Ovis aries: one gene and its partners. Each later gene encodes a partner of the first gene's protein in a complex. Links are inferred from orthologs where the notes say so. Each region holds a gene or a part of one and is shown in the gene's direction. Other genes may lie near its edges. The genes, in order: MEAF6, JADE2, EPC1, MBTD1, BRD1, KAT7 and BRD8.

Region 1 (4,152 bases):
TATCATTTTATCAAGTGGGTAGCTTCCTGTAACCACCACCGCAGTCAAGATATAGAACTGTTCTGTCACCACAAAGATCTGCCTCCTGCCACCCCTCTGTAGTTGTATCTCTCCTTTCTTCCATATATGTGTATTATACTTTCTGCTAAACCATTCAAAAGTTAAAAGCAGATCTTGGACACTTCGTCCCTAATTGTGTTAGCAGATACCTCCTAAGAATAAGAGCATCTTTCTTAACGTAACCACAATTATGCCTAGAAAATTAGCACTACATTAATAGTATTATCTAATATACAGTCTTTATTCATATTTCCCCTAATGGCCCCCAAAATGCATTGCTAGCTCATTTTCAACCAGGTAGTGTTTGTGCATTGCATTTGGCTGTTATGTGTCTTTAGTCTCTTAATTTAGGATCTTCCCAACCTTTTCATGGAGAAGGCAATGGCACCCCACTCCAGTCCTCATGCCTGGAAAGTCCCATGGATGGAGGAGCCTGGTGGGCTGCAGTCAGTGGGATCACTAAGAGTCGGACACGACTGAGCGACTCCACTTTCACTTTTCACTTTCATGCATTGGAGAAGGAAATGGCAACCCACTCCAGTGTTCTTGCCTGGTGAATCCCAGGGACGGGGAAGCCTGGTGGGCTGCCGTCTATGGGGTCGCAGAGTCGGACACGACTGAAGCGACTTAGCAGCAGCAGCAACATTTTCAGTGGTGAGCTTGTTTATGACATTATCTTGTAGAATGTACAAATTGTAGGTTTTTCTTGTTGTGACTTCATGAGGGATCCTTTAAATACTTTTGGCAAAAATGTTGCATTACTGATTATGTACCTCTTGTTTACCTCCCAGTTGTTTTCTCTTTTTTTGACTGCCCATGCCATGTCGGATCTTAGTTCCCTGACCAGGGATCGAACCTGTGCTCCTGCAGTGAAAGCATGCAGTTTTAACCACTGGATCACCAGGGAAGTCCTTGTTTGCCTTTCTGTTATCAGAAAGCTCAAAACGACAGATTGGCCCATTGTTGGTGCTGCTAAGTTTGATTATGTAATTTCACAATTGCAAAAGTTATTTTTTTCTCTTCATAATTGACAGTTAATTTCAGAGGTTATACTTTTTTAGAAGTGTGGATATGCTCCTCCCCCAGTTTGTGTCTCTGGGTTTAGTGTCCATTGTTGATTCTTACCTGAATCAGGTATTATAAAGGAGGTTGCAAAATGATGATTCTAATTTCACTGCTCCTTCTGCATTTGTTACTAGCATTCTGAAAGCAGAGTTGTCCCTTTTTATCTTCTTTCCCTTTCATTCTGTCTCCCTCTCTCTAGAATCCTTGTAGATGCATGGACTTAAAACCCAAAAACCCCCCAGTGTATTGGGGTCTAGTACTGTCACTTTTTTATGCTAAAAGTTTATTTTATTATTTAGTACAAATTCGTTTATTGAAATCTATACGAAGGAGTACATAAATCATGAATTTACAACCCACTGGCTTTTCACACCCCAACACACCCATCATTATTGTTTTTGATGCTCATTAGTCACTCAGTTGTGTTCAGCTCTGCGACTCTAGGGACTGTCACCCGCCAGGCTCCTCTGTCCACGGAATTCTCCAGGCAACAATACTAGAGTGGGTTGCCATTCCTTTCTCCAGGGGATCTTCCGGACCCAGGGATCGAACCCCGGTCTCCCACATTGCAGGTAGATTCTTTACCAGCTGAGCCACCAGGAAAGCCTCATTTGTCCCAAACATGGCCAGAGGGAGCCCCTCCAGCTGATCCTTTGATGTCACCCTGTGATCTGAGCACCTGGCTGTTTGCTGTCCTTTTGTGCTTTTCTTGTCCCAGGCCTGGCAGCAGTCATTTCTCTGAGGAGTCCTGGTTCTTTCGTTAAATCTTTTAAACTCAGGTTATTAAACAGAGATACTTCATAGCACTAGTCTGTGCTAGATGTTTTTAATAATAGACATTAAAATAAATACATATTTAATACATGAAAATGACTCTGAACCTAAAGCTAAAGTAATCCCATGTGTCACAGTGGATCACATACCATACATTGGAAAACACTGCTATGTATGTAGGCATTCAGCATGAATGTCATTTTGGTCAAGGCAAGTGGTGTGGAGGTGTTTCCGTAATGAACTTCATAATTAAAAAAAGACTTCCTTATATTTGTCCTGGGGCATCCTCAGCTTGAGCCATAGGAGTAGCTTGGTGCTTACAATGAGTTTCTTGTGTGTGTTTTAGAAACTCCAATAGCAAGAACGATAGAAGGAACCGGAAGTTTAAGGAAGCAGAGCGGCTCTTCAGTAAATCCTCAGTTACTTCAGCAGCTGTAAGTGAGGTGGGGGTGGGGGGCAGGATCTTTCTGTGGCCCATTGTTAAGGAAGCCCTCAGTTAAGTTTCTGTGAGTTTTCCCTTTCCCGTCTGTCTGTGAGTAGGGTGTCTCTTTCCTTTCTGTCTGTGAGTGCTCTCCTGAGACCTGTAATAATTTTTTTGGTAACTGGTAGTTTTGTCTTTTAGGCAGTGAGTGCTTTGGCAGGAGTTCAGGACCAGCTCATTGAAAAGAGTAAGTTTATTTATTTATTTATTTTTTAACTTCATCAATTTATATTTGAGCTACCATCACTCCTATATTTAACTTCTGTCCAACTGTGTATCTGAAGACTGCATATCTTTTTCTTGCCTCTTTCTGGAAGTTAGGAGCCCTTTTGGATATCCTTAATCATGTCTTTCTCTGGTGGAAGAAACTACCATGTCCTTCCTGCCTTTTCAGTCACATGAAGATTGACTTTAGCTGCTCAAAGACACAGAAATGTGTTTTCACTCCTGTTAAGTCTTAGGAAATTTTTTTTTAGTTAAAAATAACCCTTTTATCATGGAACATTTCAGACATATCTAATAAACCCCGTGTACCCAATTTGATCATTCTTAGGAAATTCTGATGCTATGACGGGAATGTACCTGTGTGTTCTTAAATTTAAAATGGAGAGCAGATTGTATTTACCTTGTAGAGAAATTGTATCATTCTGTGTACTTAAGCCATACAGTCTGACTCCTTTCTAACTTCTCGTAATGAGACTTAGAGCTTCAGGTTTGCCTTTCTGCATCAGACTCTAGGTAGACGGACTGGATGGTCTCCGTGCGGGTCGGGTCACTCTGAAGCTCACCCTGCGTTTTGCACTGTGGCTGGGTACTTTCCCATGGCATATCTTGTCGTGGGGTCCAGTTGTTTTGTTTGCATTAGGGCAGTGGTTTGAGGAAAATGGATTTTGGTAGTTTGGGAATTAGAACTACTCAGTGACTTCTGTTATTATCTCTGTATACAGATTTCTGAGTTTTTAGCCTCGTCTCTAACTCATTTCCCTGAGCTTTAGTCATGCATTTCTAGAAAATTCTAGAAAATGTCTTCTAGATATTTCCACTCAGTCAGACTCATTTTGTCTAAAACTGAGCTGTGCCGTTTTCTTCAAAGTGTGTCTGCCCAGTTATTTTGTTAGAGAACTCTATTCTCCCACCTTCAAAACTTGGTAGGTGGCTTTGACTCCTTTCTACCAACGTCATCAGTTGGACTAAGTCCTTTTTTTTTCCCCCTTTACTATGATTGTCAGAATGGTTTACTTTGCCTTTCACTCTTTTTTCCTTGGTACAAAATCTCTCCCTTGTCCCCACATTTTTGTATAACACATTCTATGGAATGACCCCTGTGTTCTTGATCTTTGGTCAATGGAGGAAACAACCTTTTCTCTTAGAATTTGTACTTTTATGTCTTCATATCTCAAGGATTTTGGAGTTTTATATTTTGGGCATTTATTTTTAAACTGTTTTGAAAATTTTCCTCGAACATGCATTGCTTTTGTTTCTTTTGCCTTCTTATGTACCTGCACTAGGAAGAGAATGGATTAGCATAGTCCCAAAGGGGAATTGTATGCTAATTAGTGAAGCATTGTATATTTTTGTTAAAAGAGTAAAGTAAGAAAATAATGAAAAACAAAACAGGCAGATTTTATCCAGTTCTCCTGTAAAAGGATCAGCAGTCTCCCCTTTCTGTTTTACTGGGCTTCTCTGAAGCTTTCATCACAGCAAACCCCTCCGGCATCCACATCATTGCGCAGGTAAGTGATGCTTGAGTGTGGTTCTCCGTGTCTTCCTTT
Region 2 (3,583 bases), on another chromosome or scaffold:
CTGTCCCTGTCCCCCTCTGCCAGAATGTCCTCAAGTAGGCCCTCCCTTCATCCCCTGCAAACTTTCTGGGAGCCACCAGAGACCCCCCCAGGAGTGGTCTTTGCCCAGCCCATCTCACTGTCACAGCTGTCTGTCACACACCTCTTGACTGCTGCCCCATTAAGCCTGGTGTCCCTAGAGGGGCTCCTGGACATGGGCTTTGTCTCCCAGGATATCACATGCTTTCTCCAGAACACTCCTCAGGGAAGGGGCGTGCTCTAGAGGAGCACCTCACCACTAGCATGGAAGCCCCACCTCGTCTCTAGCAAGGAAGCCCCAGGTCACCTCTAGCATGGAAGCCCCACCTCACCTCTAGCACCGAAGCCCCAGGTCATCTTTTATTTGCCTCAGTCTCAGGAAGGATTCAGCTTGGTATCTAATGGGAACATCAGCGGCCGCCTCCCAAAACCTCAGTAAAGGAAGGAGAGCCCATAACTGGAGCTGGCCCTGACAGACACCCTTATCCAAGTCCTTGCTTTGGAAGCTGTGGAAAGCGACACTTATGAAAACCCAGCGCCCCCTGGTGGCCAGAGGGCTCCTTATCCCTTATGCTCCCAGGATGATGCTGTGTGGGGTGGTGAGCAGGGCTGGGTGTGCTCCTGTGCAGTCACCAAGGGCCCTCGCTTGGTTTAATGCTCTACTGTAGCCACTTTGAAATTCTTAATAATTTTTGAATAGGGAGCCCACATTTTCACTTTGTACTCTGCTCCTCAAACAATGAAGACAGTCCGCAGGAGCAGGACACCTATCTGGGGAGAAGGGTGTTCCGTGTTTGCAGGTGGGATGGACAGAGCAGGTTAACTCGGCCGGGTCTAGCATAGAGGGAGAGAGGGAGGAAGGTCCGCGATGTGTGCAGGGCAGGGTGGGAGAGGGCTTCTGGAAGGACGGTGGCTCACACACCTGCTGGCATCTCACCTGCCTCTTTCCTCCCCTTGGCCAGGCCTGTCTACCTCGTTCCCCATCGACGGCACCTTCTTCAACAGCTGGCTGGCGCAGTCAGTGCAGATCACCGCAGAGAACATGGCCATGAGTGAGTGGTCGCTCAACAATGGGCACCGCGAAGACCCCGCCCCGGGGTTGCTGTCCGAGGAGCTGTTGCAGGATGAGGAGACACTGCTGAGCTTCATGCGGGACCCCTCGCTGCGACCTGGCGACCCTGCCAGGAAGGCCCGTGGCCGCACCCGCCTGCCTGCTAAGAAGAAACCACCACAGGATGGGCCCGGTTCACGGACGACTCCAGACAAACCCCCCAAGAAGCCCTGGGGCCAGGATACTGGCAGCAGCAAAGGGGGTCAGGGGCCGCCTGCCAGGAAGCCACCACGGCGAACACCTTCTCACCTGCCGTCCAGTCCTACAGCTGGGGACTGTCCCATCCCAGCAGCTCCCGAGAGCCCCCCCCCACTGGCCCCCGAGACCCCGGAGGAGGCAGCCCCAATGGCTGCCGACTCTAATGTCCAAGTGCCTGGCCCTACAGCAAGTCCCAAGCCCTCAGGCCGGCTCCGGCTGCCCCGTGAGAGCAAGGGAAACCGGAGGTCGCCAGGTGCCAGGCCTGATGCCGGGACGGGACCGCCTTCTGCTGTGGCCGAGAGGCCAAAGGTCAGCCTACACTTTGACACTGAGACTGATGGCTACTTCTCTGATGGGGAGATGAGCGACTCAGATGTGGAGGCTGAGGACAGTGGGGTGCAGCGGGGTCCCCGGGAAGCAGGGGCTGAGGAGGTGGTCCGCATGGGGGTACTGGCCTCCTAAGTCACCCCTTCCCCTGTCCTGGTCCCCCCATGAGGCCTCAGCCCAGTGACAACTGCCATTTCCAATCTCCGCTGAGTGTCTCAGACCCTTGAGGCTGCCACTCTGATGTGGTTTTATTTTTAATATAAAAAGTTTCGAATTCCACACTATTGTCTTTCCTCTGTGCTGGCCTAGGATGTTAGGATTCCTTCCACAGCTCTGGCCACAAGGACCAGCCCTGGTCTGTTCACCATCACGGCCATGGCAGCGTCCCCGCCCGGGCCACACAGTACTGCTGGGCTCCTGGCTACATGTAGGCAAGGTGATGAAGAGCTCAGGACTCCCGCCCGCTGCCACTGGGTGACACAGACTGTCGTTTGGGCATTATTATGGCAGATGGGCCAGCCCAGGGCCTGCCCCGCCTTGCTCCCAAATCCCACTGGGGTCAATCGGGGGGCGGGGGGGTCCTGCTGCACTTCACTGATCCCCAAGGAAGTATAATAAGTGATACCCAGCCAGAGTCTACTCACTGTCACAAGCACAATGAGCTTATACGAGAAAGCACTGAGGGGGCGAAGAGGGCCTGCTGGTTCCAAGGGAACCACAGCTGTTCCTGGTCAACCCACATCATCTGAGGCCTGCCCACCCACCCTGCGACCCTCCACTCCCCTGCTGCTCTGCCCCTGCCAGCGCCCAGCTCGGCGGCTCTGGGGAGGGTTTCCCAGAGCCCTTCCTGAGCTGTGCCATTTTCTCAGGGGACTCCCAGCTAGCCAGCCGCCAGTGCCGGCGGAGGGCTGCGAGGGAGGGCCAGTGCCCGGTCAGGGGCGTGGGGCTCAGCCTCACCCACTACAGAGAATCGCTCTGGGACTCCAACTTCCTTCTTTCCTTCCTTCGGGGCCAGTCTCGGCTGAGGTCTGATCACTCCCAGACAGCTGACCAGACCAGACCGTTTGCCTTTTCAAGTTTCCTGCTAAGTGATGAGCTTCTTCCTTGGTTTCCTTTTGGAAACAACTCCTTCCAACAAGCAGTGGGATCCCGGGGCCCAGGATGGGTTAGTGATGGCCTTCCGGGGCTGTGTGAAGTCTTGCTGGATCTTCCTGGTTCCTCTTCCCCTCTGAGCCTTAACCCCCTTCCCCAACTGTGCCCTTCCAGCCCCTCCCTCCCCACCGTCACCATCCTGCCTTCTCCGCTCCACCCTCTAAGTCCCAGGTAGTAGCTCTGAAGAGTTTCAGTGGAGTGGCCCCAGGGTGATAGCTCAGGGAACAAATGAAAAACAAAAAGGAATTCAGTGAAAACATTTTTTTTTTTCTTTTATGACTTACTCCTGGGTCACTTCTGCCACTGGTAAAGCCAGAACTTCTCCAACAAGAACCTTGCAAAAGTCCAGTGAATCAGTCGAATCATTCTGTGGATGCCAAAGAATATTTTGACCATAATACAGCACAGCCAGGACCTGACAACTTGTCACTTGGACTTTTTTTAAAAATGGAGTTCTTTAGCAACCAAGTGTAGAAACATGTTCGTTGCACACACCCAAGGAGGTGAGCCCAAGCTCTCGGACAAGGATGCTGTTCTGCTGCTGCTGGTGTTGGATTTTGGATCCTGGGCCCACTGTGAGCTCTCCTGAACCCTAAAACTCTGCACGAGGAGACTGACGGTGAAACCAGCGTGGCAAAAGTCTCACCATGGGGATCCCCCTCACATAACACAAAGCGCAAATCAGTGGGATAGGGAGCAGGCTGAGCACCCATCCCCGACTCAAGACTTTCAAGGTACGGCAGTGGCATGGTCATGGACACTGAGTTTCATGTGAGTT
Region 3 (4,152 bases), on another chromosome or scaffold:
AGCTTTTATTTGCCCAAATTTATTACCTGACGTTTGTCCAAGCTTTCCTTACTCATCCATACATCCTTTTGGATTGGAATTGTTATTTTTCAGAAGAAATCTAAAACCCTTTAGCATGTTATGTCTTGAAAAGGACTTTAATGATCACCTGATTCAGTACTTGTATATTTTAGATAAATATACTGAGGTCCAGAAGATTAAGTAATTTCCTTAGGTATACTCAGCTAATTATGATAAAGCTGAGAATGAAAGGAAAATCAGTATCTCTTGGCCCCTAGACCCATGTTTTTTACTACCATCACTTCTGGTGTATATGATACTGTGCATTTCTTCTAGAACATTTATCAGAAATGTCCAGGGAAATTTTTATAACTAGACTCTGGAGTTTAGAGATATGTAAGAAATAGGCTAACATAGGGATCTAAAATCACAGTGAGTGTTAGTGATCTAAAGTGTTGGTCGCATTTTTTTTTTTAATTTCTAGATCTGCATTAGGAAGTTAACAGTTGTTTAAAAAATGAAATTCACAAAACCCTCAGAGACTGAGGACTGAAATGTTGACTTAAATAGGGTAAAATATTTGGAACCTTTATTGAAATCGATTTATAACTTAATATTGCTAATTTTAAGTCACAAACACCAGCAAAGTTCTGCAAAAGAATATTTTCATTCATATAAATGGAGTTCTGAACACAGATCTATTCTAGTGAATGCTAAATTATTGTTTTTTAGGTGTGTAATGATGTAACCTTCCAGTAATGGGGTTTTTTGTTGTTGTTGTTGTTGTTGTTTTTTCAAGTTTATTAAGCATCTCCTACCAGGAAATTCAAGATTTAGGCAACTCACTCAAGCTTAGGAAATTAAAGTAGATGATGCAAAAACATATTAGCAATACTTAAATTGTCTTTTTGGCATTAAGCAGTTTCTTTTTATGAAATTTTTTAAGCATAAAGATAAATATTATGTTAATTGTAATCTGTTTCAAGACAGCCTTATTTAAAAAAAATTTTTTTTAAGTTCTGATTTAACTTATTTCTGTTATATGGAAATGGTCATTTTGACAGAAACTTGCTTTTATGAAACTATTTATGGATTATCCTTTTAGCAATAAAAAAATGTATTTATCAATAAAAAAGAATTTTTCCTGCAGAGTTCAGAGCTGAGGATTACCAACATAGTAGGAAAAAAACAGGGCTTCCCTGGTGGCTCAGTTGTGAAGAATCCACCTGCCAATCAGGCGATAATGGGTTCAGTCTCTGGGCCAGGAAGATCCCCTGAAGAAGGAAATGGCAACCCATTCCAGTATTCTTGCCTGGGAAATCCTGTGGACACAGGAGCCTGGGGACACAGTCCATGGGGTCGCAAAAGAATCGAGCATGACTGACTAAATAACAAGAAGAATCTCATCACAGGACATATATCAACTAAACAGATGTGTAACACCAAAAATAGGAAAATAAATGGTAGAGTTTTTCCAACAAATGATTTTTTGCCTTTGTAACCCAGGAAATTAGTTCAGCTCAAGTATGAAAGTCTGTGTAAGTACTGCAACTTCAGAGGTTTTCTGAAATATTATGTCACAGTTTTCTGACTTGTTTAAAATATGGTAGAATTTCTACCTAACTTCTAGCTAAGTATTTTCTAGTTGTCCTAGGCAGAAACTCTGCCCCAGAAGATAAAGATTCTCATGAGTTATAAGGGAAAATTGCAAAACTTGATGATGTAATATTCTAAATAAATTATCAAAACATCTTTAAAGATGACAAATTAGTTGACAGTATTTTGAAGACATTAAACCTTAGATTGAGGGAATATGCATGGTTTATAGATTCCCTAGTGACTGAGGATGCATGCTAACCCTTTTTTTTCTGTTCTGAAATAATTCTTACCCAAACACCACAGGCTTCTTAAAGAAGCCTTAAAGTCAGATGTTGTGATTGTATGTACGTTTTTTTCTTTTTTTTTTTTTAATTGGCAAAAAAAAAAAAGAAAAAGGTTTTCCTTTTTAAAAACTGCACACACTTTTTGGGGGGGTAATAAATGAACATTTTTTTGTTTGTTTTTTTTAGAACTGAGCTCTCCATAGACAAACATAAGTAGCATAACACAGTGTCTTTCCTCAGACATCATTCTGTACAGTAAGCCAACATAAACAACTCCGTTCTTATTGACTGGATTTTTTCCAGGTGGGTTAATTGGGTGGGGAAAATTAATTAACCTTTGGAGCCTCTTTTCTTCCTGTTAAACTTAAAGGATGGGTTCTTTTTTTAAAAAAAAAAAAAAAAGGTAATAAACCAACAACCTTATATTTCATATGGAGGAAATATTTGTAATGACTAAAATTCAGAACTATGTAGAACAGCTAGTATTTCTGCACAGAACTGCTGGAGATCATCTGAATGGATTAGGACAGTAGTATGAATAAATAAAGACACCAGATGGTAATTATTGTATCTCTTCTTAAGCTCAGTGCAAAGCTGAATTTCCAACATGCGGTTGAAAAAAGCTGGTATTACCTTTTACACTGTCTGGCACAAGTGTCACAGCTTACCAAAAAAATAATGGTTTCAAAGCTTGGGAAGTGAGCACTTCTCTTTGGTATGTGCAACTCAAAGTTTCACTTTATTTCTCTTTAAACTCAAGCCACTCTTGTCAAGCGTGGTTATAAAAAATGCTGAAATTCTCATTCAGAAGTGATCTTTAACAGGATGCTCAAATGCTTTCATTTTGCGCAAATTTTTTTAAATGCTTAAATGTGTTTTCGTATATTGTAAGTTGCATGTGATAGCTGTGCGTTTCTATAAAGTGTTCTCTCGTTTTATGTTCAGCATTTACAGCCGAACAATACCAGCAACATCAACAGCAGCTGGCACTCATGCAGAAACAGCAGCTTGCACAAATTCAGCAACAGCAAGCAAGTAGTAATTCCGCCACCACCATGCCACAGGTGAGGGATTTGTCTGTCTTATGATTATCCCTCATGTTTCCCACCAGAGTTCATCTCTAATTACCAACTGTTGTCATAGAGCCTTGCATCTAACCAGCAGAAAAGTGGCTTTCGCCTGAATCTACATCATAGCCACTCTATACAGGGTTTAGAAAGAACATTACAGGTGAGTATAGAAGCTGTCACCCTCTGCTTCCTATTGTAAAAAAGTAAAACCTAAAAGCGCAAATGAGATGGAGACCCTGTCCTCAAGCCTGATCTTGTAGTCTGTGAATGTACCTCTTTAACTTACAGCCCCACCCAGCTCATTATCTGGAGAACTTTTAATTCTTCTTAAAATGTATTAAAAATTATGCTAAAATAACTTCTTTTACTCTTAAAAGAAATCACTTTTGAACCTAAAGCATGATAAATATTGGCCATTTAAGCACATTTATAGAACTTAACGGAAGGCTGAGATTTGTGTCTCTAGACATCTGAGAGGAAAATATCATTTAAAAAATTCAAGGGGCCTCTTAATCTCTAGGCTGAGTTAGGATGCGATTGATGTTTTGTTCCTCTGTTCTAAAGGGGTAGTCACCTTACTGTCCCTTGGCTGCCTTAGGTTGTGTATGTATGTGTGTAAGTTTGGTGAAGGGAGTTTTGCCTACTCACCCATTCATTATATGAATTTATTCATGCAGTGATTCATTGCAAATCACCAAAATGTTTTACTAGCATGTTTCTTGTTTAACACTTTGTGTTGGAGGTTTACCATTTCCACATTTTAAAGGTTTATTTTGGTAATTTCATATTATATATTGTCACATAAGATCAAAATCCATAATCCTTGGGACTTCCCTGACAGTCCAGTGGTTAAGACTCCACCTTCCAATGCAGGGAGTGTTGGTTCAATCCCTGGGAACTAAGGTCCAAAATCCGATGTACAGCAAAAAAGAATTTATTTTTTAACGTTATAATCCTCGGGTTACAAGATGACCTCAACATTAATCAGATTTATGACTGTCAAGAAGAAATGAAGATACTTCAGTGGTTTGCCACTTTCGTTTGTATGCGGACTGATTTTGGCATATAGCTGTGTAGCTTAATAGTCGTTGGAAACTAAGTGGTGCTGATTAGCTCTGCTCTGTGTTTTCCTTTGTAGGGTTTTGTGTCCAAGACTTTGGATTCTGCTAGTGCTCAGTTTGCTGCTTCTGCTTTGGTGA
Region 4 (4,152 bases), on another chromosome or scaffold:
CCAAAAAAAATGTGAAGCAATGAACACAGAGGTGAGAAGATGGATCAGTAGACTATAATGTAATGAGAATCTGGGAATAAATGTTTCAAAAAATTAAGAAGTCAGCTGGTATGGGATATTATAAAGGAGGCTGAAGTGTTGGGGAAAAGACACTGGATTTGACAAACTAGGAGATCATTTCTTCCCAGATAGCTCAGCTGGTAAAGAATCCACCTACAATGTAGGAAACCCTGGTTCAATTCCTGGGTCAGGAAGTTCCCCTGGAGAAGCGATAAGCTACCCACTCCAGTAATCTTGGGCTTCCCTGGTGGCTCAGATGGTAAAGAATCTGCCTGCAATGTGGGAGACTTGGGTTTGATCCCTGGGTTGAGAAGATCCCCTGGAGGGGCCCATGGCAACCCAATCCAGTATTCTTCTCTGGTGGATCCCCATGGACAGAGGAGCCTGGCAGGTTACAGTCCATGGAGTCGCAAAAAGTCGGACATGACTGAGTGATATAACTTGAATTGGGTCTCTGGGTGAAAAGTATTTAGGAATTTGTTGTATATACCTTTTTTTAAGTGTGAACTGTTTCAAAATAAAATACTTCTAATGTAAGGGGGATTGGGAGACATGGAGAGGTTTGTCTTGAGAGGCAAAGGAAGCCCTACTACGTAGAGCAGTCTGATGCGCAAAGGATGGACTGTGAGGTCCCTCACGCAGTTCCTGTCATGGAGCAGCACAGTTATCCGGAGCATGAAAGAGGTAAAGCCGGAGCTTGAGGAAGATGGGAAACGTTTAGGAAAACTCCACTATGTGAAAGTCAGAAGGGTATAAGTAGAGTCCCTACTGAATGAGACTTAAAGCTTAGCCGAGACTAGATGGTTGAACTGTAAAAGAGCACTCAGCCCTGTTTCGTGCCACAGGAGAAAACAGCCTTGGCCCTTGTCAGGAGCATGTTTTCCCTAGACCTCTAAAATCACTTCCCTGTAACCACGCTTTTATTTCTGGCACACCCTAGAATTTATGCAGATTTGTTTTTCATTATAATTTCAGTTATTTAAGAGAGTTCAGTAAACATTTCTCACTTTCACGAGATCTTTATGTAATAGACTTTGCTTTCTTTTAGAATGTCACTTAAAGGATCATTTCTATAATAGTGGTACCTAATTTTAAATACTTGGAATTCTCTTAATTTAAAAGGTGCTGGCTGATGGATTCCTGATGATTGGGATCGATGGCTCAGAAGCAGCAGATGGATCTGACTGGTTCTGTTATCATGCAACCTCCCCTTCTATTTTCCCTGTTGGTTTCTGTGAAATTAACATGATTGAACTCACTCCACCCAGAGGTACTTTTTTTCTAATATATACAGTGGGTATTCATCCTTGTTTTCTTTTTACATAGTACCTATTTACACTGTTTACCACAGCCCTAGATTTCTTTTTATTTTTAGCCCTAGATTATTTGCTGTTTGAAAATATAATATGTATGTATAAACATATGTGTGTTACATATGTATATGTTTGTATCAAGAGCTGTGGGGTGTCTGAAAACATCAAGACCTGTAACCTAACTAGCTTTAATAAATTGGTGGAGAATTTTCCTGAGCATTTGTACATTTTATAATAAGAATTGGTATTCTCAAGCCCTGTTAAGATGATGATGTAGGCTCAAAGGGCTATCACATACATAAACTTTTTTTAAAAAATGGACTGTAGCCTTTGAGAGAAAGCAAGTTTTCATCTTTAGATTACTGTATGAGGAAGCTCCCTGGCATTCCAGTTGTTAGGACTTGGAGCTTTCACTGTCAGGGCCCTGGGTTCAATCCCTGGTTAGGAAATTAAGGTCTCACAAGGCAGGTGGTATTACCAAAAAAAAAAATTAAAATTACCATATGACTTAAAAAAAAATGACACCCTTAAATAGTTCATATGGCTTAACCAGTGACTTTCCTAATTTCAATATCTGAGCCTTGGATTTTTCTCTTAAGAAGGAGAAAAGCCAAACAGAAGACTGTAAAAACAGTATTTGCCTAGCCACTGTTCTTACAAAGAAAGAAAAATATTACTGGAAAATATTAAATGTTAGACTATTCTAAGCCTAGGATTGAAAAGCAAAAGTCTAGCTCTTATAGGATACTTGAGTGCACCTGTTTCTGTCTATAAAAACAGGAAGAGCCATGTAACAGGGAGGAATTATTGTACTCTACAGCATTAGCTCATGAGATTGTAATGTGTACTGAATTACTTTATATCTGCATTTTTATATTACACTAATTTTAAATGAACTTCTAGTTAAACTAGTTGTGTTTTCCAGGTTACACAAAGCTTCCTTTTAAATGGTTTGACTACCTCAGGGAAACTGGCTCCATTGCAGCACCAGTAAAACTGTTTAATAAGGTAAATTTAAATAAACACATACATATTAGTTAAACAATGTAGGTATTTCCTTTACATAGGAGTTGAGATTTGTTTCCAAATTTTGTTTCATTATTAGGAATGAATGCATTTCCTAACTAGTTCTTACATGCTTCACCTTCATATGTTTCAATAAAGGATTTTTTTGGTCTAAATTGTTAATTGGTTATGTTACTTCTCTTTTTTTCTATCCTAGTGATGATGGAGTTACACATTATTCTTTTCACCAGTGTTAATGTTTTGCTTCTCCATGTTAGGATGTTCCAAATCACGGATTTCGTGTCGGGATGAAATTAGAAGCAGTGGATCTCATGGAGCCACGATTAATATGTGTAGCCACAGTAACTCGAATTATTCATCGTCTCTTGAGGATACATTTTGATGGATGGGAAGAAGAATATGATCAGTGGGTAGACTGTGAGTCCCCTGACCTCTATCCTGTAGGGTGGTGTCAGTTAACTGGATATCAACTACAGCCTCCAGCATCACAGTGTAAGTTGGTATAAGAAAAGGTGTCCTTTTGCAAAAATCAGCAATTCTCCAAGGACTGTCTCACATAAATCATCTTGTGAGCTTACAGGACAAGAATATACCTATGTCTGATTGGTTGCCAGGTAAGATCTTACGTGATAAGACTCAACCATGATATCACAGAATCAGACCGTGTGTGCCATGGCAGTGTGAACTCAGTAGTCAGTTGCTTAATGACTATAGAAACACAACATTAAGAACATCCACCGAATTAAACTAGACTTCCTTTAGTGAGTTTAAAGTTACAGACTAAAATTTATTAACATATAAGAAGTGCTTATTGAATAAATAATGAAATCTGTCTGGTATTGAGGTTCATGGTTTTGCAGGAACAATGACCCTTATTTTCGAAGCATTGTGTACTTTTATAAACATCATTGTCTTGGTAAAGGTAGTTCATCTGAGTTGTATTGAGAGTTGTAAGAAATTATCTGATATCAATTTTCTTCTTTATTTTTCAGCATCAAGAGAAAGCCAGTCAGGTTCATCAAAACAGAAGAAAAAGACCAAGTCCCAGCAATACAAAGGACATAAGAAAAGTGGGTCACCACATGGTGTTTGTATACGTTTCCTAATTGTTAACCAACTGGGGTCTTGGTATCCTTGCACAGAAATGGGATCCCTTGTGAGAGCTGATAACTCTGCATTCTGTATTATGCTTAAAGGTGCAGTATGCCATAAGAGGCAGACTTTTTAAAAATCAGAAGCACTTGTCTTTGATTGACAGGAGAAAGTATTACCATAATATTTAATAGATGGTAAAGCGTAGAGTCTATGAATGATTTTTGAGGTAATAGGTAAACCTGAAAATTAGTCCTTTTTAAAAAATTTTTTATTAAAAATAAAAACAGATGTTTGGTGCTTACAATAGGCTTGGAGACTAAAAAACCTATCCTTCTAAACCAAAAAACTCTTTCTAAAATCTTTCCCCCTCCATCATAGAAAGCTATAGATTTTTTCTCTTTGTGAAACTTGTCATGGAATATTTCATCCTAAGATAAAGTTATTTTGTTTTTCATTTTTTTACTGGGGACTTAGAGCAGCCACTGCAGTGGTGCTTAGTTTCTTCCCTACGTGAAACCCAAATGGGTCTCACTGTAGTGATAACCGTCAAGACCTATCTCTTACCCTCTTTTATATTGTAGATGTAAGCCTCCCATAGACCCAGAATTATTTTGCTTACTGGTTGCTTACCATGGTTGATATTTACCTAAAAGAACTC
Region 5 (4,596 bases), on another chromosome or scaffold:
GCCCCCGGCCCGTGTGCGGCCCCCGGCGCCCGCCCGGCGCCCCCCTCCTGAAGCCCGCGCCCCTCAGATGCCCCCCGCAGCCCGTGTGCCGTGCCCCGTCGCCCGCCCGGCGCCCCCTCAGATGCCCCCAGCCCGTGTGCGGTGCCCCCTCAGGTGCCCCTGGCTCGTGTGCGGTCCCCATTGCCCACCCGGCGCCCCCTCAGGTGCCCCCGGCCCGTGTCCGGTGCCCCATCGCCCGCCCGGCGCCCCCCTCCTGAAGCCCGCGCCCCTCAGATGCCCCCGGCCCGTGTGCGGCCCCCCTCCTGAAGCCCGCGCCCCTCAGATGCCCCCGGCCCGTGTCCGGTGCCCCATCGCCCGCCCGGCGCCCCCCTCCTGAAGCCCGCGCCCCTCAGATGCCCCCGGCCCGTGTGCGGTGCCCCGTCGCCCGCCCGGCGCCCCCCTCCTGAAGCCCGCGCCCCTCAGATGCCCCCCACAGCCCGTGTGCGGCCCCCGTCGCCCGCCCGGCGCCCCCCTCCCGAAGCCCGCGCCCCTCGGGCGCCCCGGCCCCAGCGCCGGCGCGCGGCCCTGCCCTCCGTCCCCTCCCCCGGCGGCGGCCGCGCGTCATGGCGGCGGCGGGCGGGGCGCGTCTCGCACGCAGCGCGCCGGGCGGAGCGCTCGCCGCATTGTTTGCTTCGCTGGGGAGCGAGCGGGCGAGCGAGCCGGCCCTGGCGTCCGAGCAGCCCCGCGCCAGCGCCCCGCCGCCCCGCCGCCGCCGCCGCCCGCCGCCCGCCGGCCGGGCTCCCGCGCCGGGCCTCCGCTCGGCCCCGCCGCCCGCGCGAGCCGCCGCCCGCGAGCCCGCGGCCGCCGCGCCGAGCCGGGCCGGGCCGCCGCCGCCAGGAGCCCGCGCCCAGAGCGGCGGCGGGCCGGGCCTGCGCGGCCGTTGGCGGAGGAGCCGCGGGCGCCATTAGCGCCGCCTCGGCCGCGCCGGCCCCCGCGCCCGCCGCCCGGCTCCCGCGGCCGCGGCCCCGAAGGTGAGTGCGCCGGGCGGGCCGGGGCCGCCGCCTCGCCCGCGGGCCGCCGCCGCCGCCGGCCTCTCGGTGCTGGGGCCGCCGCCATGTTTGGGGCCGCCGCGGCGACGCATTGTCCGCGGGCGGCGGGGCCGGGGGAGGCCGCGGGGCGGGGGCGGCGGCGGCGGCGGGGCGGCCGGGGCCGGCGGGCGGGAGGCCGGCCTGGAGAGGCGGGGAGGGAGGGCGGCCCGGAGGCCCGGACGGGAAGCCGGGGGGCCGGGGAGGGAGGCCGGGCGGCCGGGGAGGGAGGCCGGGCGGCGTGGGAGCTCGGCAGGGAGGGAGGCGAGGCCGGCGGGCGGGAGGCTGGACGGGGAGGGAGGCCGGCCGGGTTGAGAGGCCGGGGGGCCGGCGGGGAGGTCGGCCTGGCGAGGCGGGGAGGCCTGGGGGGCCGGTCTGGAGGCTGCAAGGCCAGGGAGGGAGGGCGGGCCGGGTTGAGAGGCTGAGCGGCCGGCAGGGAGGGAGGCCGGCCGACGGGGAGGCCCGGGGGGTCCGGTCGGGAGGCTGCAGGGCCTGGCCGGGAGGCCGGGGGGCCGGGGAGGGAGGCCGGGCGGCGTGGGAGCTCGACAGGGAGGGAGGCGAGGCCGGCGGGCGGGAGGCTGGACGGGGAGGGAGGCCGGGCTGTGGAGGTGCCGAGGCCGCCCTGCCCGCCGCGCCTCCCGCCCGGCGAGGTGGGGGCGGCCCGGGGTCTCGGCTTCCCCGGCCGAGCGTTTGCCCGAGGGTCGCGTTATGTAACGGACGCGCTGGGCTTGTTGAGCCCGGACGGCAAACTTCCTGTTCCAGGGCCGCGCGGACCCGCGCGGCCGCCCCCTCCCGCGCCCGCGGCGGGCGGCCTCCGGGCCCCCAGGAAGAAGTGACCTGGTTGTAATTTACGGGGCACGCGCTACAGGCGGGCCCCGCCGGAGGAGCCGCCCACCGCCCGAGAAGGGTCGCGGGGGCGGCGCTGCATGCCGCCCCTGCGCGAGGGTGTTCGTGGCTTTCCTAGGGCCAGGCGGGAAAGGCGGTGTTGGAAGCTGAACCGGTCTTGGGTGCCGCGTTCCTCTCTTGTGGCCACAGGGCTTTTCAGGGGGCATTTATCAGAAGGGTCTGGAGGGTCTGTGAATGGCGTCCACGTGGGAACCTTTGTCCTGCACGGAAGCTCCAGCTGGACGGAGGTTGGAGGTTTGGAGCCTGGGGTGTAGGGGAATGGTGGCCTGGTGAGGTGGTTTGCAGAGTGACCAGCGCCTTCTTGTCCCTGTCACCATCGAGCTTTCAGATTGCAGAGCTGCCATGACCAGTAAGTGCTGTCCTTCTTGTAGCAAGTGGCCAGATACAAAGTCTCGGTCACTTCAGGAGCATGTGGGTTTTGAAGAGCCGGTTATGGTTAGTGCTGTTGGTACTGTGCTCTGGAGGAGAAAATTACACGTTTGCCTTTCCTCTGCTGAGTAACCAGCTGTGGCTTCTGCCCCACCCCAAAGGACCCCTGAGGCTGCACGGGGGGCCCTCCTGCAGGCTGGGGTGTGGACAGCAGGGGGACTTGCTCCTCTCCCCCGGAAGGGCTGGCAGGGCCAGGGCCAGTTGGGGGGCAGCTTGGCTGACTGCACCCCAGGAGTGCAGGGCTGTGGGCCCCTGGGATGTGGAGATGCAGGTGGGTTAGGGTTGGTTTGCCCACGGGCTCTCAGGCTCCCCTTTGTAGGGCATTCTTGTCAGATTTCACAGAAACATTTCTGTTTCACAAAAGAGAAGGAAAACCACAGTCGGAAGGCTCTGTCTCAAGGAATGCATCTCAGGTCGGCTGCGATTTCCTTTCAGGTGTGACAGCGCAGGCCGCTGTGTGGCGCCTTTTCCTGGCCGACTCCCCAGGGCCTTGTCCGGCGGGGGGCCTTGGGCTCCACCGGGCACGAGTGTCAGCCAGTCTCGTCAGCATCACTCTGCTTCCTGTCAGTGGCGAGTGGTGGTTTGGAGTGGGGAGAGGGCACTGTCATCAGTTCCTAAGGTGTTACCCTGCTTGGCGGGTGCTGGACCAGAGTCCGGGATCGTCAGGAGAGGGAGACTGGAAGTAGAACTTGCTGGTGGCTGATGGCGGATGTCTGACAAGAGCAAGTGCTCGAAAGTCTCCATGGCCAAGGCTTTAGGCGCTTGAGCCTGTGCTGCACCCGGTAGAGAGGAGGAGCACTCTGTGGATGGCGAGGGGGTCTCTGGGTTGCCCTCACTGTGACAGGATGATGGCCCAGCACTGTGGTCAAGCCAGCAGCGAGAGGGTCCCTGAGGGGCAGGCAGGTGGCTGGAATGCGGTGGCCACTTCCGAGGCCCTGCAGGGGCTGGGTGGGGTCTCCTGGGGTGAAGCCTGCCCAGGCCAGTATGGGGCTGCCCTCATGGGTCCTGGCGCGGGCGGTGGCCTGTGCCTCAGCATGGCTGTGCAGGGTGCGTTCGTGGCGACAGTGGCGGGCTGAGGGCTCTCTCCTGAGCAGCAGCGGGGGTCAGGCAGTGGCCAGAGCCTGCAGGAGTGCAGCTCTGTGCATGTACTGTCTTGGGCTCGGGACTGTGACCCGAACTCGCGAGGGGTGTGGATCCAAGCCGACCAGTGAGCTGTGGGCGTCGGCATTCTGGAGGGACTTGTCCCCGTGTGTGCCTCTGGGGGCCCTCCTGACTGCCTGCCTTCTGCTCTGGTCCTGGGAGCCCTTGGGGGGCAGTGGCCTGGTGGCAGTGGCTGGTGGCGGTTGTTGAGGTGCCTGCATGAGTCCAGGATGAGTGATTTTGGGAGCCTCGGGCAGGTTACCTGGGAGTTGTGTTTGGATTTAGTGCCAGTTGGTTCGCTCTGCGCACATGTGCTGGGTGGTTTTCACCTCTCCTGTCTTCTGCATGGCGCTCACGTGTTGTCTGTCTGTTTCAGGGAGTCAGTGCCAAATGAGGAGGAAAGGCCGAGGTCATCGCGCTGCAGCGAGGCACCCTTCCTCCCCCGGCAGCACCAAGCACTCCCCCACACGAGAGACCCTGACCTACGCTCAAGCCCAGAGGATGGTGGAGATCGAGATCGAGGGGCGCCTGCACAGGATCAGCATCTTCGACCCCCTGGAGATCATCCTGGAAGATGACCTCACCGCCCAGGAAATGAGCGAGTGCAACAGCAACAAGGAGAACAGTGAGCGGCCGCCCGTGTGCTTGAGAACTAAGCGGCACAAGAACAACCGGGTCAAGAAGAAAGGCGACGCCCCGCCCGGCGCCCACGGCGCGCCCGCCTCCGCCAGCGCCCTCCCTGAGCCCAAGGTGCGGGTGGTGGAGTACAGCCCCCCGTCGGCGCCGCGGCGGCCCCCCGTGTACTACAAGTTCGTGGAGAAGTCAGCTGAGGAGCTGGACAACGAGGTGGAGTACGACATGGACGAGGAGGACTACGCCTGGCTGGAGATCGTCAACGAGAAGCGCAGGGGCGACTGCGTGTCGGCCGTGTCGCAGAGCGTGTTCGAGTTCCTCATGGACCGCTTCGAGAAGGCCTCGCACTGCGAGAAGCAGAAGCAGGGGGAGCAGCAGTGCCTGATTGACGAGGACGCGGTGTGCTGCGTCTGCATGGACGGCG
Region 6 (4,152 bases), on another chromosome or scaffold:
AATGGAAGCATAAAATTCTGAAGAATGAAACTCTCTTTTGGGGTGGTGGTTAGGACATTTCCTTTCCAGGTTCACTAGAGTGGATAGTAGGTATCTTCTGGAATTAACCTGTCTGATAAATAGTTTGTTTTGTACTTGATCCCTAGTGCCTAGTATAATGCCTGGCAAATATTAATAGCAGGTACTAAATAAATAAGTATGGTTATTCTTGGCCTTCTGGTTGGCATCCGTTGAAAGGCAATAGGTTAAGTAAGGCAATGGCACTCCACTCCAGCACTCTTGCCTGGAGAATCCCATGGACGGAGGAGCCTGGTGGGCCACAGTCCATGGGGTCGCTAGGAGTCAGACACGACTGAGTGACTTCACTTTCACTTTTCACTTTCATGCATTGGAGAAGGAAATGGCAACCCACTCCACTGTTCTTGCCTGGAGAATCCTAGGGATGGGGGAGCCTGGTGGGCTGCCGTCTATGGAGTCGCACAGAGTCAGACATGACTGAAGTGACTTAGCAGTAGCAGCAGCAGCAAGTTCTTAGAAGCAGAAAGTATCATGCTCCGGTTATTTTCCTAGGAACACAGGCAGACCTATGGGAACACTCGGGAACCTCTCCTGGAAAACCTGACGAGCGAGTATGACTTGGATCTTTTCCGAAGAGCACAAGCCCGTGCTTCAGAGGATCTGGTGAGTATTGAAACTTCCAAGATGAGGACTACTTGTGAGGGTCACTTGGAACTGCCAAGGAAAATTAGCAGTCAGTTTGCTAGGGATTAAACATACCTTGCTGCTTGACCCTTTTTCCCTTCCCCCGGACATCCTTATTTGAGACTTCCTTCCCATTGATATTTAAAATTAATTACCCCTCCTCCCTTCCTTTGTCCCTTAAAGTTTTCCCTCTCCACCTCAACTCCTGGAAGGACCTGTTTGGTAGAGGTAGTTATCTGGATAGAACAGTGGGTGCCCCTTTGTGTCAGTTGGATAATTTGTAATTCTGAGAACCCCTAGACTGGAAGGTACCCCTCTGTTGTCCTCTTAACCTAAATAGGAACTCCCCTTTGTGGGATTGCTTCAGCCTTTCATTGTAGCTATAAAAGAATGGGAGAGGAATAATGATCAAGGTTGTTGTCAGATAGTTTAGCTAATTTAGAATCTGACAACTATGTTGTCAGATAGTTTAGAATTCTGATTGAATGAATTAAATATGTCCAAATGGCAGTCCACTCCAGCACTCTTGCCTGGAAAATCTCATGGACGGAGGAGCCTGATAGGCTACAGTCCATGGGGTCGCAAAGAGTCGGACACGACTGAGCGACTTCACTTCAAAGAAACTTAAAGTTTGTAAAGTGAATTTCATCTTCCTTTTTTTTAAAAAAATTTATAATCAAATACTTTATTTAAGAATTCTTGATGATATAGTGGTCCATGGGCTGGTTGGAAAAGAATTTCCAGACATGAGGCAGGATGAGAGGAGAACAGAGTTTCTTAGAGTGGGAGATGTTATTAGAACAGCAGACTGGCTCAAGGGAGAGCTGACCCCTTTCTTGGGCTAGTTGCCAATTTTTATAGCCTCAAGGCAGAGAAAATTCCAGCTGGAAGGGTAACATTAAGTGACTGGTTAGAAGTTTCAGGGTGGGGTATTTTACCTAATGGAGGGTAAAGGACCTGGCTGATTTAGATCTAGAAGCTCATGGCAACAGTTGTTACTGACCTTGGTTAATTACAGAAATTTTTGTCCTGTGACCTTGGTATAAGGCTCCATAGAGGAGACTTGTTGAAATTTTGGGAGAGGCAGGGTTTGATTGCTGCCCTTATTTAGGCTGGGCTACCACTGCCAGTTTTCTCTATCTTACCCTGGTACTGAACATTTCCTAGGCCAGCTTTTCAGAGCTCTGCCTGATTATTCTTCAGAATTATTTCTGTGACTAACTCATAGCCACTGAGTGGGGACAGGTATTCAAAAATATCTTCTACTTTCTAGCTTTAAATTCCAGAATTAAAGCATCATCCGTGTTTCAAAAGTGTTTTTTAAAGGACCCAAGTTGAGAGCATGGCCAGCATGGGTGCATGTCATGCAGATCCATACAGCTTTCTTTATAAAAGCTTTTGCACACGTATGAAGTGCATTCTCGAGAAGCTTTTGTTTAGGTTTAGAATGTTTGTTAAGGTGTAGGGAGTTTGTGATAGATGGTCTTTTAAAATTCTGTTTATTTCAGACTGATAAAAAGTAAAATTTTACGAAGGGCTTGTTCTGATGTTCAAGAGATTAGGCCCAAGTGGGTAGGTAGCAGAGAAAAGCCACTCTCAAGACCTGTGCTCTGGGCAGTGTAGACAGTACATTTTCTCTAGCCTTCCTGGTGACCCATGCCCCCATAGTCCTCTTCAGTGTAAGTTACTCATGAGCTAGAAGCCAGAAACTATTTTTTTCATAGCCGGTTGTGGTGGCATGCACGCAGCTTACAACAATAGAAATGATTAATTCTTATCCTCCTTTAACTTGATTTCTTCTCTGCAACACAGGAGAAGTTAAGGCTGCAAGGCCAAATCACAGAGGGGAGCAACATGATTAAAACAATTGCTTTTGGTCGCTATGAGCTTGATACTTGGTACCATTCTCCCTATCCTGAAGAATATGCACGACTGGGACGTCTTTACATGTGTGAATTCTGTTTAAAATACATGAAGAGCCAAACAATACTCCGCCGACACATGGTAAGTTGTCTGAAGGTCCATGACCATGGTGATGATAAGCTCTAGGGTGTCTTGATTGTTGTTTTCCAGTTGCTCAGTCATGTCCAATGCTTTGCCACCCCATGGACAGTAGCACTTCAGGTTTGCCTCAAAGCTTCCCTTTTGCTCAAGCTCAAGTCCATTGAGTTGGTGGTGCCATCCAACCATCGCATGCTCTGTTGTCCGCTTCTCCTCCTGTCTTCAATCTTTCCCAGCATCAGAGTCTTTTCCAGTGAGTTGGCTCTTCACATCAGGTGGCCAAAGTATTGGAGCCTCCGCTTCAGCATCAGTCCTTCCAGTGAATATTCGGGACTGATTTCTTGTAGGATTGATTGATCTCCTTGCTGTCCAAGGGATTCTCAAGAGTCTTCTCCAGCACCACAGTTCAAGAGCTCAAATTCTTCGGCGCTTAGCCTTTTTTATTGTCCAGCTCTCACATCTGTACATGACTACTGGAAAAGCCATAGCTTTGACTAGACAGAACCAGTCTGTTGTTCCGTGTCTGGTCTAACTGTTGTTTCTTGATCTGCATACAGATTTCTCAGAAGGCGTAAGGTAAGGTGGTCTGGTATTCTCATCTCTTTAAGAATTTTCCAGTTTGTTGTGATCTACACAGTCAAAGGCTTTAGTGTAGTCAATGATGCAGAAGTAGATGTTTTTCTGGAATTCTCTTGCTTTTTCTATGATTCGATGGATGTTGGCAGTTTGATCTCTGCTTCCTCAGCCTTTTCTAAATCCAGTTTGTATAAATCTGGAAGTTCTCAATTCACATACTGTTGAAGCCTAACTTGAAGGATTTTGAGCATTACTTTACTAGTATGTGAAATGAGTGCAATTGTGCGATAGTTTGCACATTCTCTGGCCTTGCCTTTCTTTGGGATTGGAATGAAAACTGACATTTTCCAGTCCTGTGGCTAGTGCTGAGTTTTCCAAATTTGCAGACATATTGAGTGCAGCACTTTAACAGCATCATCATTTAGGATTTGAAATAGCTCAGCTGGAGTTCTGTTACCTCCACTACTTCCTGACTCCAGGATGTCTGGCTCCAGGTGAGTGATCACACCATTGTTGCTATCTGGGTCATTAAGATCTTTTTAGTATAGTTCTGTTTACTCTTGCCATCTCTTCTTGATATCTTCTTCTGTTAGGTCCATACTGTTTCTGTCCTTTTTTTATGCCCATCTTTGCATGAAATACTCCCTTGGTATCTCTAATTTTAAAGAGATCTCTAAGCTGTCCCATTCTGTTGTTTTCCTTTATTTCTTGGCAGTGATTACTTGAGGAAGGCTTTCTTATCTCTCCTTGCTATTTTCTGGAACTCTGCATTCAGATGGATGTATCTTTCCTTTTCTCCTTTGCCTTTCTCTTCTCTTCTTTTCTCAGGTATTTGTAAGCCCTTCTCAGACAACCATTTTGCCTTTTTGCATT
Region 7 (4,763 bases), on another chromosome or scaffold:
ATGGTGATATGACCTTGTGCAAAGTAACTAAAATGTCTGGGCCTCATGGTGAAGGAGAGACAAGGACTGCCTTTCCTCATAGGATAAATTGAGAGTAAGCGTTCAGTTTCATTAATGCAACGCAATTAATAGCTTTCTTATGGACACACAACTGTACATTTTTTACTTATCATGCTCTTAATTTTGAGTTGACCTGTCAAACTCTAGAATTGCTGGGTTTTTTTACCTCATGCTTCTCTGTATGGACAGCTAGTAGGCTGATTATATCACTTTCAGTCCCCAAGCCACTCTTCAACTCCTTTACCTGCTTGTCTTCCAGGGAGGTGGAGATGACAGAGCAGTCTGACAGCAGGTCCTTGCGTATAACAGATCCCAAATCTGCAGCTGTGGACTCAAACATGGGGGAGACTACGACCTCCTCATCGGACAGCAAGCCAGCTGGTGGAGAAAGGATCCCTTGCGACATGGCAGCAGGGGCAGTTTAGGTCTAAAAAGAGACAAGAGTGGGTAGGGAGGAGAACCTTAAGGGATAAAAGGGGCTGAAGAATTCGCCCTCTTTTCTAGGTAAGAAACAATTCCCTTGCCCCAGGGCAACCTAGTCTCGCTGCCTGAATTCCTACTCCCTTCTCCTTTCGACTACCAGCAAACGGGAAAGAGAGAAAGAGTTAATCATTTAATCCAATCTGAGGCAGCATTTCGGACCGCGAACAGGAATGAACAGATATCTAACTCCGAAAACATAAGGCCAAGTTCCAAGTAGGGAGCCTCCCTCAGCCGTGTCAGAAGCCCTAGGCTCATTCTCTATACCTCGCTTCTAGGCCCACGGTGAGGACAGAATTATTAAGAAAAACAGAAATGGCGGCAGTTCCGCTTTCTGAATGCCTAATCCGCCAGAGCAAAGGTGCCCCAACTTGACTCAAGTTCAGCCGCACACTTACCTAAAGACGCCACACTTCTACGGGACCGGCTCACTCACACCCCACAGCCGAAACTGGGCTTTCGGCAGCTTGAGAGGACAACCCCACCCACGAAGCGCACCTTTGTTTCTGATACAATGTTTTAAATTGCGCGCTGAGTTCGTTCGGCCAATCAGATAGCGAACCTTGCACCTACCAATCAGTGCAAGGGGGCGGGCGAAACCCGGAAACGGTTTTCTTAGGCTTGACCTCTCTGCTCAAATGTGGGACGGGTTACCAACTGTTGGATTTTGGAGCTGGGTCAACTGGAACTTCTGTTTATCAGTTTTTCTTGAACCCTAGGCATTTCTTTTCTAAGAAGCCTGAAGGAAATCCTAAGGCTTCAGCCACCATTCTCTGTTCTTTCGCACATTCCTTCTCAGGAACTCACAAGAATACCTGATTTGGGGCGCTGGTTCATCCTAGGGTGGGGAGAGGGGACTACATTTCCCAGGACGCACCGCGAATAAACGCTGGAACGCTATCTCCCAGAATTCCTTGGGCTTCAATTCGGCCAGAAATCTTCCTTCGGGGGTTGGAGACGTCGGGGCCAAGATGGCGACGGGAACGGGCAGTAAGTATCTGCCTTGCTCTTGCGTGGAAGGTGTTTGTAGAACCAAGGCCAGGCAACAGATCTGTCACACTCTTAGGGAGTAGAAGCAGTGATTCACCTGAGAGCCCAGAGCCATCAGAGACTTGGGCTCGAGCGGCGCTGTTAAGGCCAGCGGTTGGGGGTTGAGGGCCCAGAAGCGTGAAGTCTTACACTTAAGTAAGGCCGCGGAGTTTTTTTGCTTTTAGAATTTTTATTTATTGGCTGCGCTGGGTCTTCGTCGCTTTCCGTGGACTGTTCTCTAGTTGCCGCGAGGAGTGCTCCTCTCTAGTTGTGGTGTGCAAGGCCACGGAGCTTTGAGAAAAGCAGCCTAAGAAAATTCTTGTATGTTTGTCAGCTCTGCGGGGTGAGAGGGAAAAAAGGTGCCTTAGAGGCTCCGGCGTGCGGACAGAGATGCTGTGAGCCATATGGAGTGGCCGGGGTCCCAAAGAGTCATTTTCTGACGAACATTTGTGAGGCCTGTACTCACAGAGAGATGGGACATGTTAATCGTGAGCTTTTTCTGCCACTAGGGAAAAAATACATTTCCTGTATCTCAGCCATTTCCCTCTGTTTCAGGGACTGAGAAGGTCTTGTAGGCCTAACAGCTTGAGGGGAATGGGTGTAACTGAGAGAAGTAAACAAGTTTATGCTAAGAAGGAGGCGGGGCAGTAGCGGGGGTTGGCCGCTCGGAATCCTGGGAAATAAGGCCTGGGGTCCACTTTGGAATAAAGCATTCTTTTTTTTTTGGCCAGGGCAGAGCTGGGAGGTTGGTGGTTGGCAGGATCATGGGACCCACGTCCCCTCTAGGGAAAAGGCACAGACTTAACCACTGGACCACCAGGGAAGTTCCTGGAATAAAGCATTCTTAAAACTGGGTTTTTTGGAAGAACTGCCCTAAATTAACTTGACTTTTTTTTTTTTAAATATGGTAGAGTAACCATGGCATTTACAGAAAAATGTTTTGCCAGATAATCAAGTGCAGTTCTCAAGCAATGAATAGGCACCATCCTAGTGGTGGTGTTTACTAGAGAGGTGAAAATCAAGATTTGGTGATAGTGGCTCACTTTGTCCTTACAGGTTAGGACATTTTTGTATTAGACTTTTAATCCTCCCTTTGGGACTTAGTGCCTCAGTGGTTGTCTCTAAATCTTTCAGAACATAAGCTGCTGAGTACTGGCCCTACAGAGCCATGGTCCATCCGAGAGAAGCTGTGTTTAGCGTCTTCTGTCATGAGGAGTGGAGATCAAAATTGGTAAGGTATTTAGGATATCTGCTTCCTTGGGTATTAGAAACCGTTTTTTTTTTTTCCCCTTCATGTAAGTACCGGTGGATTCCAGTAGTTAACGTTTAAGCAGTAGTTAACAGCCTTCTTGAGATGCAATTACATATCACAAAATTATATTCACAGAATTCCCAGTATATTCACAGGATTTAACTTAATTTATTAAAATTATTAAAACTTATTAATATTTAATTTATTAAATTCACATAATTTACATAGGACCAATGCTAGAGTCTAATTTTACATTTTAAATACACTTGAAAGAAACCTCTTACCCTTAAGGAATCACTCTGCAAATCTCTTCGCCTCTCTAATATTTCCGCCTCCCTCACCAAACACTCATCTACTTTCTGTCTCTCTATAGCTTATTCTGATCATTTCATATAGATGGAATCATATACTTTGTGGTACTCTGGGGCTTAGCATAATGCTTTCAGGGTTCATGCTGGAGTATGCATCAGTACTTTATTCTTTGTTTTGATGAAATTGTAGTTCCTTGTATGGGTTTACCACATTTTGTTCATTTGTTGATGAACATTTGAGTGGTTTTTACTTTGCTGAATATTAATGCCGCTGTGAACATTTGTGTACAAGCTTTTGTGCAGGCATGTTTTCATTTCTCTTGAAAGAGTGGAATTGCTGGATCATAGTTGAGTTCAGTCACTCAGTCGTGTCCAACTCTGCTACCCCATGGACTGCAGCACGCCAGGCTTCCCTGTCCATTACCAATTCCTGGAGTTTACTCAGACTCATGTCCATTGAGTTGGTGATACCATCCAACCATCTCATCCTCTGTTGTCCCCTTCTCCCGCCTTCAATCTTTCCCAGCATCAGGTCTTTTCAAATGAGTCAGCTCTTCAAATCAGGTGGCCAAAATATTGGAGTTTCAGTTTCAACATCAGTCCTTCCAGTGAATATTCAGGACTGATTTCCTTTAGGGTGGACTGGTTTGATTTCCTTTCAGTCCAAGGGACTCTCAATGGATCATATTATAACTCATATTTATCTTTTTGAGGAACTGCTTTCAAACTAAAAAGTGGCCTCACCGTTTTACATTCCCACCAGCAATAAATGAGGGACCCAGTTTTTCTGCATGCTTGGCAAACATTTAGTCTTTTTGATTATAGCTATACTGCTGAGTGTGAAATGGTATTGTATTGTGGTTTTAATTTGTGTTTCTTTTAAGTACCAGAAAGTAGGACTGTGTGTGTTTTCCAATCTTTTTTTCTACCAGGACATAGTCTCATTTTTAACATTTGGTCTCCCCGCCCCCGACTTTTTTTTTTCTCTCCGTATCTAAAGTTACCTTTTAGTTGTCTTAAGTGTTAAAATTACTTAATAAACAAATTTGCATTTGTAGGGTTTATCTCTACTACTTTAACCATTCAAATGAGTTTATGAAAGCACCATTACTGATCACATGTAACACTTCTACAATTCTATGTATTTTTCAAATAACTTTTCAAAGAGAAAACCAGAATACTCTAGGTAGCAGCTATTCTTGAGCTGGTAAACACTGACAAAACAAAGCATGGTTATTTGCCGAATCTCAGATTGAGCTTAAATATAACTCAACTATAAACTGAATTCATTTTTATACAAAATATTAATATCAAGTAAACTGGATTGAAATAGAATCCAATATGTATATTTTATTACAGTTTTCTTTAGTTTAAGAACATTTAAGTAAAAGTTTGAAATTTTGAATTGTGTTTATGTTTTGAGGAGGTTCTTAAGATATAAAGTTCAAAATTCAAAATGGTATACATCTATATCTTATCTCCCAGGATTAGCAGTTCCTTGTGTGTTTCTCTGCCATTAAATTTTATACTTGAACAAATAAATATTTTCTTTTTTTCTCTCCTTTAAAAAAAAAATCCTTTATTTATTTTTGGCTGTGCTGGGTCTTAGTTGCTGTGCACGGGCTTTCTCT

The links.
Region 2: MEAF6 (region 1) and JADE2 share a complex: the UniProt entries of both Homo sapiens proteins name them as parts of the HBO1 complex. The link is inferred for Ovis aries from reciprocal best matches to the Homo sapiens genes MEAF6 and JADE2.
Region 3: MEAF6 (region 1) and EPC1 share a complex: the UniProt entries of both Homo sapiens proteins name them as parts of the nuA4 histone acetyltransferase complex. The link is inferred for Ovis aries from reciprocal best matches to the Homo sapiens genes MEAF6 and EPC1.
Region 4: MEAF6 (region 1) and MBTD1 share a complex: the UniProt entries of both Homo sapiens proteins name them as parts of the nuA4 histone acetyltransferase complex. The link is inferred for Ovis aries from reciprocal best matches to the Homo sapiens genes MEAF6 and MBTD1.
Region 5: MEAF6 (region 1) and BRD1 share a complex: the UniProt entries of both Homo sapiens proteins name them as parts of the MOZ/MORF complex. The link is inferred for Ovis aries from reciprocal best matches to the Homo sapiens genes MEAF6 and BRD1.
Region 6: MEAF6 (region 1) and KAT7 share a complex: the UniProt entries of both Homo sapiens proteins name them as parts of the HBO1 complex. The link is inferred for Ovis aries from reciprocal best matches to the Homo sapiens genes MEAF6 and KAT7.
Region 7: MEAF6 (region 1) and BRD8 share a complex: the UniProt entries of both Homo sapiens proteins name them as parts of the nuA4 histone acetyltransferase complex. The link is inferred for Ovis aries from reciprocal best matches to the Homo sapiens genes MEAF6 and BRD8.

Annotation. Positions count from the first base shown.
Region 1 is NC_056054.1:12,337,892-12,342,043, reverse strand, and holds part of MEAF6 (chromatin modification-related protein MEAF6), read left to right. Parts: intron 1-2,245; coding exon 2,246-2,333; intron 2,334-2,521; coding exon 2,522-2,567; intron 2,568-4,152.
Region 2 is NC_056058.1:43,744,197-43,747,779, forward strand, and holds part of JADE2 (E3 ubiquitin-protein ligase Jade-2), read left to right. Parts: intron 1-979; coding exon 980-1,788; 3' UTR 1,789-3,583. UniProt on the Homo sapiens protein: Scaffold subunit of some HBO1 complexes, which have a histone H4 acetyltransferase activity. Acts as an E3 ubiquitin-protein ligase mediating the ubiquitination and subsequent proteasomal degradation of target protein histone demethylase KDM1A.
Region 3 is NC_056066.1:32,590,405-32,594,556, forward strand, and holds part of EPC1 (enhancer of polycomb homolog 1), read left to right. Parts: intron 1-2,069; coding exon of another isoform or gene 2,070-2,086; exon of another isoform or gene 2,087-2,186; intron 2,187-2,828; coding exon 2,829-2,947; intron 2,948-3,026; coding exon 3,027-3,113; intron 3,114-4,091; coding exon 4,092-4,152. UniProt on the Homo sapiens protein: Component of the NuA4 histone acetyltransferase (HAT) complex, a multiprotein complex involved in transcriptional activation of select genes principally by acetylation of nucleosomal histones H4 and H2A.
Region 4 is NC_056064.1:35,303,010-35,307,161, forward strand, and holds part of MBTD1 (MBT domain-containing protein 1), read left to right. Parts: intron 1-1,182; coding exon 1,183-1,330; intron 1,331-2,298; coding exon 2,299-2,381; intron 2,382-2,656; coding exon 2,657-2,891; intron 2,892-3,391; coding exon 3,392-3,469; intron 3,470-4,152. UniProt on the Homo sapiens protein: Chromatin reader component of the NuA4 histone acetyltransferase complex, a multiprotein complex involved in transcriptional activation of select genes principally by acetylation of nucleosomal histones H4 and H2A.
Region 5 is NC_056056.1:225,165,793-225,170,388, reverse strand, and holds the start of BRD1 (bromodomain-containing protein 1), read left to right. Parts: upstream 1-1,622; 5' UTR 1,623-2,312; coding exon of another isoform or gene 2,313-2,319; 5' UTR 2,320-3,848; coding exon 3,849-4,596. UniProt on the Homo sapiens protein: Scaffold subunit of various histone acetyltransferase (HAT) complexes, such as the MOZ/MORF and HBO1 complexes, that acts as a regulator of hematopoiesis.
Region 6 is NC_056064.1:36,556,228-36,560,379, reverse strand, and holds part of KAT7 (histone acetyltransferase KAT7), read left to right. Parts: intron 1-570; coding exon 571-681; intron 682-2,514; coding exon 2,515-2,706; intron 2,707-4,152. UniProt on the Homo sapiens protein: Catalytic subunit of histone acetyltransferase HBO1 complexes, which specifically mediate acetylation of histone H3 at 'Lys-14' (H3K14ac), thereby regulating various processes, such as gene transcription, protein ubiquitination, immune regulation, stem cell pluripotent and self-renewal maintenance and embryonic development.
Region 7 is NC_056058.1:47,270,047-47,274,809, reverse strand, and holds the start of BRD8 (bromodomain-containing protein 8), read left to right. Parts: upstream 1-1,502; 5' UTR 1,503-1,511; coding exon 1,512-1,530; intron 1,531-2,703; coding exon 2,704-2,800; intron 2,801-4,763. Other genes in the region: kinesin-like protein KIF20A, read right to left, coding at 305-466. UniProt on the Homo sapiens protein: May act as a coactivator during transcriptional activation by hormone-activated nuclear receptors (NR). Isoform 2 stimulates transcriptional activation by AR/DHTR, ESR1/NR3A1, RXRA/NR2B1 and THRB/ERBA2.